Linked DNA regions of Oryzias latipes. The protein of the gene in region 1 interacts with the protein of each later gene in a biochemical or structural test. Links are inferred from orthologs where the notes say so. Each region holds a gene or a part of one and is shown in the gene's direction. Other genes may lie near its edges.

What was found.
Region 2: the proteins of uba1 (region 1) and ube2j1 form a complex in vitro, tested with the Homo sapiens proteins (2 studies listed by BioGRID, with this or other methods). The link is inferred for Oryzias latipes from reciprocal best matches to the Homo sapiens genes UBA1 and UBE2J1.

What each region holds. Positions count from the first base shown.
Region 1 is NC_019865.2:13,789,365-13,795,332, forward strand, and holds the end of uba1 (ubiquitin-like modifier-activating enzyme 1), read left to right. Parts: intron 1-909; coding exon 910-984; intron 985-1,068; coding exon 1,069-1,258; intron 1,259-1,364; coding exon 1,365-1,450; intron 1,451-1,832; coding exon 1,833-1,925; intron 1,926-2,459; coding exon 2,460-2,651; intron 2,652-2,743; exon of another isoform or gene 2,744-2,864; intron 2,865-2,965; coding exon 2,966-3,067; intron 3,068-3,153; coding exon 3,154-3,254; intron 3,255-3,336; coding exon 3,337-3,472; 3' UTR 3,473-4,389; downstream 4,390-5,968. Other genes in the region: rho guanine nucleotide exchange factor 3, read left to right, coding at 4,995-5,032, 5,271-5,319, 5,400-5,444, 5,924-5,968. UniProt on the Homo sapiens protein: Catalyzes the first step in ubiquitin conjugation to mark cellular proteins for degradation through the ubiquitin-proteasome system.
Region 2 is NC_019882.2:20,274,085-20,280,052, forward strand, and holds the end of ube2j1 (ubiquitin-conjugating enzyme E2 J1), read left to right. Parts: intron 1-1,361; coding exon 1,362-1,491; intron 1,492-1,577; coding exon 1,578-1,709; intron 1,710-3,649; coding exon 3,650-3,928; 3' UTR 3,929-5,083; downstream 5,084-5,968. UniProt on the Homo sapiens protein: Catalyzes the covalent attachment of ubiquitin to other proteins. Functions in the selective degradation of misfolded membrane proteins from the endoplasmic reticulum (ERAD) and is essential for cells to recover from ER stress.

The sequences.
Region 1 (5,968 bases):
TAAAACTGCATTCCTGAGTTTTTCCTTATTTAAATTGTAGTGAATCATGAGCAGATTAACAATTGCTATTTGAAAAAGCTCGCAGTTGTTCCATACAAAATACAGTCGGCAGGCCACAAGTTCCCTCCCATTCTGATGCAGACAAATGTCCTCATTTTCCTCAGCTGGCGTCTGGCGCAAAACTGTATGGCTGGATAGCTCTAAAAAGCGCCCACATTTTTTTATTTTTTTTAATTAAAATATAACCATTACAAAACTCTTGGAGACACAACCACACAATGATGCAAGGCACTGCTTTTCACAAAAACAAAGAACAAAAGAAAACAAAAATTTATACATATATAAAAAAATATTAAAAACAACTTTCAGCATAAATTAAAATAAAAGGCAAACAACAATCTGGACCCTAGATCTTTAACCATTCTGTGGCAGAATTACATATGTCATCAATGAAAGGACTTGAGTTGTGAATACATTTCAATGAGGATAAATAAAGTCTGACTTAATAAAGCGCCCCCATTTTGTTGCACTGGTAATGTTAGGTTGGGGTTGTGAGAGGTTGTAAGCTAGCAGGAGAGGGTGTAAACAAAGGGTTGATGGGAAATGAGTCAGGCTCACTCCGCGTCAACAGCCCTGTCCGCAGCTTAGAGGTGAATTTCTACTGAACTCCTGCCGCTCTGCAGAAACTGCCCTAGAAAACAACCGTTTTCTTGATTTTTGTCTAAAAACCGCATAATCGGACTGAAAAAATATCTGGAAATGCTTTTACAGGGACTTCTTTTTATATTTTCTTGTTTTTCTGTTTACATTTTACTTCATGAAGTTGCACCCAATCTAAACATTGAGCTCCTAAACTTTTTCAGATGTATCTTGAGTCCCATATGTCTAAAGAAGATATTTGTCTTGCAGCTCACCAGCTCAGGTGCACCTTTCTGGTCTGGCCCAAAGAGGTGTCCTCATCCCCTAGAATTCAGCACTAGCAATGTAAATATGCGCTTTTCACCGTCTTCAAAAGTATTCCTCCTCAAAAAAAGATTCAAATTATTAACATTTAGCCTTTGTCTCCAGGACTTGCACATGGATTATGTTTTGGCAGCTGCTAACCTGTTTGCGCAGATGTATGGTCTGCCAGGTAGCACCGACCGTGCAGGACTGGTCAAGATTTTGCAAGAGGTCAAGGTGCCCACTTTTACCCCCCGTTCTGGGGTTAAAATTCACGTCTCAGACCAGGAGCTGCAATCGAGCAACTCTTCTGTTGGTAAGACCGTATTTATGCACAAGACAGCATTGAAAATCTTTCAGAAATGTTTGTGTATAATTGTCTTTGCTGAAGGCCTATTGTGACATGGATCTCTTTAATGCAGATGACTCTAAACTGGAAGAACTAAAAACCAAATTGCCGTCACCAGAGTCTTTCCAGTTCAAATTAAACCCCATCGAGTTTGAAAAGGTACTCAATTTCTTTCACGTCAGACATAATCAGTCTTTCTTTGATCGTCATGTTACAAATGTTTGTCATTTCTAAAAAAAAATGTAAAAAGTAATTCTGTATATTTTTTTGTTGTCATCAAAATAATACAGGAACGTAGAAGTAAAAATCGATTTACTAGATGAATGAAACGTGAATGTCATTATTAGTTTGTATGTCGTAATAACGTGATTCTCTATGCAAATGAACCCCGTTGTGTGTTTGTATTTAGAAAATGTCATTCTATTTATCACTAAATTACCCCCTTTTACTTGCTACAGCCTCATTTATTTTGTAGTGTAGGAAGAACATGGATCACCCGAGAAGAAATGTTTTAAAAATGGTTTTATTTCTGCCCCTCCAGGATGATGACACCAACTTCCACATGGACTTTATTGTGGCCGCATCCAACCTTAGAGCAGAGAACTATGACATTCCGCCTGCAGACAGACACAAGGTGGGCTAAACATTCACATGACCTCATTTGGCCAACTAACAAGGGCGTCTTTTTGTTTTTTTGATTCTCGCATAGCAAAACCTCTGGGCAGAAATACTTTAAGTTTTTTTCCCCTGTTCTTTCTCTTTCAATAATGTATCTGTCTGAATTTTTCTGGACTGGTGAAGGGAGGAGTCATTCGGTCATCTTCTAATTTGTTTATTCCCTTTTGTGGTCACGGCGATGCCAGAGCCTATCCCGCCACTTGCGGGTGAAGGCTGGGGACATTCTGGACAGGTCGCCAGTCTGTCGCAGGGCCCCAATCACACCCATGCACTCTCACATTCACACTTATGTGAGAGACAATTTAGAGTAACCAATTAACCTTGGAAGGAGTGATTGTGACATATAAAACGTCCTCAAACTTGGTCTGTATGTTTTTTATAAATTAGAAATGTTAAGCAAACCAAAGTGAGTGTTTTTCATTCATTGTTTAACCTCCGTTCATTAGCTGATCGATTGTGAATTTCTCTTTTGGTTTACTGTTCTTTCCAGAGCAAACTGATTGCCGGCAAGATCATTCCTGCCATTGCCACCACCACCGCTGCAGTTGTTGGCCTGGTCTGCCTGGAGCTCATCAAGGTCGTGCAAGGACACAAGAAGCTTGAGACGTACAAGAATGGTTTCATGAACTTAGCCCTGCCTTTCTTTGCCTACTCTGAGCCCATTGCTGCTCCAAAACATAAGGTGAGGTGTTGCTGTTTTATCCCACAAGTTTGTAAAGATTATAAAACGTGTGACGATTGTGACACAGTGATAAAGTTTTAGTCTGCTTCTGGCTCCTGTGATGATTCAGCCATGCTAATACTGATGCATCAGTCAGCTGCATTAACTCTGACTGGATGCAAGTGAGTTCAACTCACCTTCTCACACTGGTGTGATCAGTGTGTGCTGAGGAGACGTGTTTACCAAATATGCGCTTATAGCATTGTTGCAGCTCTGTGTGATGTCTATTTTTTTTACCTACAGTAGCTGTAACTTTATTTTTCATTTATTTCCAGTACTATGAAACTGAATGGAGTCTGTGGGATCGCTTTGAAGTAACAGGAATGCAGGCCAACGGTGAAGAGATGACACTCCGCCAGTTTCTGGATTACTTTAAAGTATGTTCAGCAAATTTAGGTGCTTCTTCTCCAACTTTTTTTGTTTTTGCAATGAGTAACTTTGTTTTTTCTCCCCTGTTTGGCAGAACGAGCATCAGCTGGAGATCACCATGCTTTCTCAGGGAGTGTCCATGCTCTATTCATTTTTCATGCCCGCTGCCAAGCTTAAAGAGAGGCTTGACCTACCGTAAGTAACTGCATACGCGAGAGTCCAGCCTCTTTACGTTTTCCTTCCACAAACTGAGTTTTTCCTGTTCTGATTTCTGCAGGATGACTGAGATTGTGACCAAGGTGTCCAAAAAGAAGCTGGGCAAGCACGTTAAAGCTCTGGTGTTCGAGCTCTGCTGTAACGATACTTCAGATGAAGATGTGGAAGTGCCCTACGTCAGATACACCATTCGCTGAGCCTCACCCGGAGACCACCCACAGGAGGGTGGTAGTTGCTAGGGGGGGATGCAAGGAATGGGGGTGTTCTTAGTGGGGAAATAGTGGTGTGACAAAGGGTGGGTGGATTGATCCAGATCGGCTCTATTGGATCAATTGGTTTCCTTTTTTAGGCCCGTGGTTTGTTTAAACCTGTGCCTGACTGTACATAGCCCCAGTAAGCTGACAGAAGGATACCTGTCTGTGTGTTACAGTTCCACTCTGTGCTTGACTGTGGGAAGAGGAGATTTGTTGGAGAGAGGGAGGGAGCATGTAAATTGGACATCCTAATGTTTTTCTGTAGTAGAACCTTTAAACTTCAAAAGCCTCGGTGCCCTCATTGCAAAGCCCAACTAGTCTGTATGTACAATAACACCTAACTATCATTCTGAAGCAGAGCTTTCAAACACACCCTGCTTGCTCTCCTCTCTTCTGGAGCCCATTTCTAATAGATCTGTCCCCTCATACTGTTACTTTTTAATACATGATTTTTTTTTTTTAAATCAAGGCTATTCAACAACGTAAAAACCCAATTCTCCCTTTATTTTTTGTTCCTCAACTGGAAATGGAATTACAGCATCAAACTGATGAATTTCCTTCCCTTCCTTCACTTTGAAGCACCCTCAAAGCCTCGTTTCAGCACTCTGGCTTTCTTCAGGCTGCTGCACACCACAATAGTTTTCTCTTGATGCTCTCCATGTCATGTGTTTTGTTCCATTTTATTTTATTTTCTGGGAGGGGGGGGTGTTTGGAAGGAGTTTTGGCACACAGTTGGTAGATCATCAAACTGTCTTTCTACTTTGTTAACTCCAAAATTAATTAAATCTAAGAGCGAAGCGTTGAGATGTATCTTGAATGGGAGCACTTAGTGTTATAGTGAATAAACATGGAAAAACTCGCCTGTGTGTCTGTCTTTTCTTTTCAGTTGATTCAGTAAAAATGTGTGACGTTGATTTTAATTATGTGTGTTGTCTGCTTTGGTTATTGAGTCTAGTCTGGTTTATGCTGCTCAGCAGTGAAGTGGAGCATCACATGCAGGAAATAAGCTTCACCAGCTAAAAGACTGGTTGACTATTTACTGTGGAAAAAATGTCTGTAGGTTATGTGATATTTAAGTTTTCTAAAACTAGATCAGTTGGTAACCACAGTCTAATATGACACTCTACGTCAAATATTATTTCACTTCAGCAATTTACAATTTTTCCACAACAAATTTTTGTGAACATTTGGAGGAGAAATGAGATTTCGGTGATGAGCTTAGCGTGAAGCTTGAGCACTCCTCCCTGAGAAGAGCGGATATGCGAGTTCTGTGCAACCCCTAAAGGATGTGGTAAGCTGTAAGATGAGGAAGAAAGTGAAGAGGAAGGAGTGTGTTGAGCTTTTAACACCCCGAATGCAAACAGGTTGCGTTCGGGCCTGCACAGAAACTACCTCAAATCTGGATTATTGCCACTCGTGTTCAAAATGTCCAGTGATATTGTGAAGATGCTTTGAAGAAACTAACATGGAAGTGGAGGCGACTGATGAATCGAGGACTTCCTGGTACGATCAACTTTTTTTCCTTCTGTGTTCCATCTGTTAATTGATAAAACAGGGTGACTTGAGTTTTTTGGGTAATTTTATTTATTTTTTTAGTCTATACTTGCTGCATCATCAGTGAACCAGTTTCTTGTTGTATAATCACAAACTAATTTAGGGTGAAATGAGATCTTTTAGATTATTTTAAATCTTTTTGATTGAATAATTTTATTTTTCTTTGGGAACCTTTTTTCCTTTTTAGGTCTGACATGTCAGGCGACAGTCACACATTTGTTTGTGATCATGCTGGGGTAAGAATCTGCCTTTATTCATTCATTTGAGTTATAAATTAAAAGGGGGGGAAAAAGCTGATCATATTTTTTTCTTTCAGAAAAAGAGAAAACAAGATCCCGAAGCTGTGATAAGAATCATTGAGGTGAGAAATAAGCCGAGCAGCTTCCTATCATAATCGTCTCTGTTTCTCAGTAAGAGGCGGAAGTTAGTCAACTTTACCTTTGTGACCACAATGCTGACTGCTGAACTGACAAAGAAATGCGCATTGTGTTCAGCAGAACTTTTTTTTTTTTTTTTAAATATAAAACCCACTTTGAGCTTTTGTGGTCTGTCCACTTTATTGTCTTGCGTCATATTTGCTTTCCTTAAAAATCCCTATTTGACCAACTGCATTTCACCACTGCTGCACTGCAAATGTGGAGGTTAAAAGGCAGTCATTTTTATTGTTTAACTACAGAGGCACGCTTTGAACCTTCTTCCTCTTCGAAAGACTCACACAGGAAATGAGAAGGCTGCACCATGCAACATTTTAACCCTCTCAACATTGCCTTCTCTCTGTTTTCCTCAACTTTTTCCACTCCATTTTTTTTCTAACTCAGTCCCAATTATGACTTCCAATAGGATGAAGAGGAAGAAGAGGAGGAGGAAATGTCACCTGACCACATG
Region 2 (5,968 bases), on another chromosome or scaffold:
GAAATGTTCTGTCCCTGTAAGAGCAAAACAAACAAAATAAGAAGAAAGTAGTAGAGAAAATAATTAAATATTCATTATTATTCTTTTTGAATAAACATTTGACACATAGAAACAGTAAAACTGTGTTTTACCGGGTTTTACTGTGAAGCACTTTGTGGTTTTTATCTTGAAAGGTGCTATACAATTAAAGTTTATTATTGTTCTTAACCTGCACTGACAGTCAGACTGCGCTTTGATGCTTCTGGAACCGTCTGCTTTAAAAGATATCTTCACTGGGTTGCAGAAGGCCTTCGACCCTCGACCCCCCCAGGGCTCAACAGTGTTTTTCCACTTCACCAGTGTTGGTACTTTAGTGATGAGCCTGAGGGAGCAGCTATCAGAGGCCGTGTTGATGCTTTAGGTGAACAAATGACCTGGAAGTGAAAGTGGACAGAAACATGGAGACAGCTTTGATTTCTGTCCATAGATGCTGCTCAGAGTTACAGTGTTTCCCTCGTTTATTGCAGGGGTTATGCCCTAAAAATGTCGTAGAATTACAGATGTTTAGGGCTATAAAACTCCCTACACCCTTTCTACATTTTTACCAGACAGACATGAACATTTTCAAACTTTTCTCTCAAATCCTTCAATAGAAAAAAAGTCTAGTCTGGTCCAAACAAAGATCTGATCGTGATGAAGATTTATGTATCTGGCAAACTGAACACATTCTGGTCAGGAGACAGCACAGAGGAGATTGATTGACAGAGTCAAAGTGCGCTGTATAAATAAGACAGATTTGCTTTGCTTTTACAGAGGTGAAAGTCTAAAGCAAACCAAAACTGAAGCGGACTAGACTGTGCCACAGTTACAAAGCGAGTCACAGGGATTCTGTAATGTCCGACCAAGACTGGAATGAAAGCAAGAAGTAGAAAAAGCAGCTAGTCCTTCTTTGCTTTTCTGTGTCTTCATCCTAAAGCCTTCCCAGCACACCGCCGGTCACATGCATGTTTGTTCGTGGGCTGAAGTGTTCAGACAAGCCATTCTGACTGATGTGAATTCATTAGGTCTATTGTTACAGACCATTACAGCCAGTGACATCCACATAGACCTGCTGATGTTTGGTCTGACCCCGCTGTGGGTAAATCTGTGCCGGGAATGTCAAACACAGCTCAGATGGATGCATGAGGAGCAGCAAGTCATGACCGTGTCAATAGACTCGCTTTCCCTGCAGGTGAAGGCATTAATCACAGTAGCAGTATTTGATGATTTGATGGTTTTCCCTCGCCTGACGGGAGAGTTGTGCTGTCCAGTGTCTGCATTGGGTAGAGAAACGGGGAACTGCGGGAGGTAGAGCTCAGTCTGTCCCACTGGTTCTCTGGCAGGTCCCAGGACTTCTGCTGTGAAAGCTGCAGCTGCTCCATGCGCACCGCTCTGCTCCCGCCGACAGCCAACAGCAACCCCAGCGCCGAGGACCACAAGGCCCAGGAGCTGGCTCAGCAGATCAACTTCAAGGTTCAAACGGCCGTAGCTTGAAAGGCAGTTCATCATTTTACGCTCCTCTGCATCCATGTCAATGAAGCAATGACGCACGTTTTCAGGCTGAATCCAGCTCGCCCCCTCAGGCCAGTGCGAGCGGACCTGCAGGCGGCGAGGAGCTGTCGGCACTCCCCCAGCAGGACACGTCCTCACCCGCTGGCCAGGAAGCGGCTGAGACGCCGCAGGCTGAACAGGTGGGTGTCCGGCTGCTGCCGAGGCCGCTCACGGCTGCAGCCTTTATTTTGGAGGACGTAAGAGGTAGAGTTGCCAAAGGCAATTATGTCGTCTGCTTGTCAGCTTTAGTTCCTGACTTTAATCAACCAGTCAGACATCAGCTCCGCCTCCAGCAGCAGATGCAATTTAGAGGTTTGAAGTGAGTTTTTTTTCCCTCATCAGCAGCTCCTCCAGCATGTGTGAGCTGCGTTGCCTAAGAGGATTGATTTTGGTGCCAGATGCTGTTCACACAGAGACTGAAGCAGCAGAGACGAGGGTCAACTTAGATTACTGCTTCTGCGCTTGGATCAACTGAAAAGGCCAGAATGGGAGCAACCATCTGCTGCTGCAGACTGGGTGGCCCACTTTTTACCCACAGAGCTCCTCACCGGTTTTTCCATTAGTTTAGAAATATTAAATATTTGCAACCAACCTTCCACAAAGTGAAACCTCATAGGCCTATGCAAATGTCATCATCCACTGAACAGAGTATCAGCAGGTGACTCAGAGAAATTGAAGACGTCTCTGTGCATCAGGGACAAAGACTATTATTGGATGCCCATCATCAGCAAGGCTGATTCAGTGACATTACTGCAGGGGAGCTGTGGAATTAACACTAAAATGTGCAGAATATCCATCTCCAAATAATTCCTTCAATTGGTCTTAACTTTTTAGTTTCATAATTTAATCATCTTCAGTCTGACGATAGAAGAGCTGATGTTCCAGGACATCTTTACGTCATAGTTTAACTCTCACCACCTAGCTAAAGTGATAATCCTGCCCCTGTTAGCCCTCCAAGTCTCAATGCATTGCCTAAAGCTACATTCACAGCGAATGCGATTTGTGTCAGTGGCGTCCAGTTTTAATGTTATGTCACCTTACAGACGTGATCAGAGGTCCTACAGCGCAATTTGAGCGCTACGCACAGGAATCTGGCCAGCAGGTTTTGCGCGGTGAAACAACACGACACAGCGGCTAATACATTGTTTCACGTTTCGAGTTCAAATTTCGAAACTTTGTCAAAGAATTCCCATCGCATTCATTCCAACCAGGACTCCGCTTTGGCCTGTGTCATGTTCAGTGGGTGGAGTCCAAAACCAACATGGAGGAGAGTCTGATTCTTCTTCTCCTTAACTTTATGATATTTTTCTAATTTGCATCCTCTAATTTTATTCTTATTAGTCTTTTTCGCTCCTGGGTCTAAAGCGGGACAGCAATTCATCAAACTGGGTCACAGAGAGACAATAGAGCTGCTAAAAACGCCGTCATTCAGGCATAGTAGTAGAGGATGACCTCGCCGTACCGGGACAGTCTCTGATCTCTCACCTGCATCCGTTTCCATGTAGGAAAGAGGCTAAAAGTTCTAGGCGGTAGCTCCTCCCACACAGTGTTCATACACCAGCAGGTGTATGAACACATTTTTGGACTGTAAATATTAATCGTATCAATATTTCTCTATGCTATTTGCTCTGCCTGAAAACTCTATTTCAATTAAGCTGCAATACAGTCCAGAAACAAGACTTTTAATAGAATAAATTTTTTTTTACAATAATCAAATTAAATTAAATAAAAGACTAAAAGGCTACTAAAACTCGATCGGGGAAGTTTTACAAGTCTTTAGCTTTTGGGCCTTTTTGTAAACTAGAAGTTATACATTCTAGCAACAAAATAAGTGTAATAACTAGTGTCCAATAGGGGGCAGTAGTTAGTGCAGCGGAAAACAGCGGAAAAAACATCAAAGACTGTTAGTTATGGAAACTGTTTGTGTCTGTTTGTAATTTCTTCTGGATTAAGAAAAGATTTTAGCTAACGTTTCCTGTGCAGAAGAATCGCTAAACATCATGATGTAATTGTTACTCCAGATCATCTCCAACATGATTGGTGGACGTCAGTCACTGCATTCTGTTTGTCCTGTTTTCAGGCAGAGGGACCAGAGGAACCAGAGGAACCCCAGCCCCCTGCCCCTGTGGACTCCATCGATTCTGTCCGGCAGCGCCGCTCCCCGCAGCAGCCCGGCTCGAGAGACAGCATTCAGGTGGCGGCCAGCAGGGTGGCGTCCGTCCCGGCGCCCCGCCAGCCTCTGGACCAAAGCCACGCCGGCTCTGCCGTCCTCATCCTGGTGCTCACACTGGCTCTGGCGGCCCTCATCTTCCGCAGGATCTACCTTGCCAACGAGTACAACTTCAACTACGAGTTGTGACCACGACCCCATCCTCCTCAATTCAGACTCAGAGGTCAGCTGGAGTGGAAGCAGAGCTGAGGCAGCAGCTGACTTTCTGCCCTCGCTGCTCAGCCAACAGGAAACCTCCTCCGGGGGGGGGGGCACTGCACATCACAGCACCTCCTTTTAATCAGTGTGAATTTGAACCCCCCTCCTTAGAACAGGAGGCTTGTTGTTTAGGATTCAGCTCAGCGTCTCCCACTTGTAACTGCGGTGCACCCCGCGGCTGCTTTCGTTCCCATTATTTAATTACAATTGTAATATGTCAGAACATGGAATTATGGGAAATTTCCTCAGACACAGCCAGAGAATCCTCCGAAGGCCACGAGTTAAGCTCCTGTCCAGTTTTAATGGGGCCAACAAACGGCAGAAGCGTTTTCCATCCGTCACCTGGAGTGAACGTGCTGCATTAGTTTTAGTTTCTTTAAGGTGGGGGGGCTCTTTCAGAATAAATGCATTCGTTTTAAATGGTGTGAAGCTTTTAAATCAGCGGGGCGGCTCTTTAATGGAGCGAGCAGCAGCTCTTCCTCACTGCCTGAGCACCGCCTGCCTCTGTGATCGTGTTGGCGTGGAGGGGTGTCCCTGCAGGGGGGGGGGTTCACGCTGCAAACCAGCCAGCAGCAGAGAACTCCCAGATTGTAATTTCTGGACCATTTAATCCGTCATACTTTCAATCTTTAGTGGTGGTTCATCAGCAGCAGCAGTTCTCACTCTTCATTTTTGTTTAAAGGCACCCCGTTGTTCTTTACCCCTTCATAGCGCCCCCCAAAGGCTGACAGGGAGGGTTCAGCTTTCACATTTTCTACATCAGAGTTCCAGGTTGACATGAACGCAGCTCTGAGGTTCCACTTGTGCGGCCTTTGATGCTTCATGCCTGATGGTCGTCTCTGCAACCTGCTGCTGAGCTGCACAGCCTTCAGTCACATTTAGGAAACAGGAAGAAGATAAGGGGCTTTGCTCGTCACTCAGCAGCCGCTCCCATGTTCATCTGCTTTGTCAGACGAAGAACCCTAAAGACAAACGTTTAGTCAAACCCGCCAGGTCAAGACTAAACACAGTAAATCCTTCTTTTCAGACTTTCTTGGAATTCATAATTGGGTCTTATTGTTTAATAAAGTTATTTAAAGTTTTAAATGTGTCTGTTTTCTGTCTATATTTAGCAACCATATATTTATACTCATTTGAACCGCAGTCCCAACTACGTTGGCAGAAAATACAATCTGATTTTTCATCGTAGACACAGTTATTTACAAGAGTGAGATTATGGTTCAAACCTTAAAGTTATTTTCCTAATCGTCGATAAGTAAAGGAAATTCAACAGAGGAAGCTGATGATATCTGCAGAGGAAAAGGATGGAGACTCACATGTTTGTGGAAACATCAAATAAAGGAAACCTGGTTCATCCAAATGCCACAAAGACAAAACTGGAATAAATGCTACATTTGCTAAATGAATTTTATTAATGCTATTAAAAAATATATATATATTTTTAATAATAGGACAAAAAATTAATGACTGTAGTGGAAAAATAGCAAGAGAAAAATGTGTACAATCCCTGAAACTGGCCAAATATTAACCAAAGAAAACCAATAAAAAAGGTAATCAACAAAACTAAAGTTTGTCTTTTTCATAAACAGGCTAATTCTTAGTCTGATTACAGTGCGGCAAAAAGGTATGTAAACACACAAACACACTGTGATTCTCCCACTTAGAAATCATGGAGACGTCTGACATTTTCATTTAAGCTGCATTTCCACTGTGAGAGACATCATCTAGAAAAATAATCTGGAAATCACATTGTATGATTTTTATATAATTTATTTGTATTCAACATTAAGGAATAAAAGCACAATATACATATTTTTTAGTGTTCCAAAGATTTACAATTCATGGTGAAATAGCTGAAGAATGTGTGTGAAGCAGAACAAAAACAAGAGCAAAGCCTCAGCTGGAACACAACATAACAATATGAGCCGAACCTAAATGTTGAGGAGCTTTTGCTTTCATAACTGTGCTGAC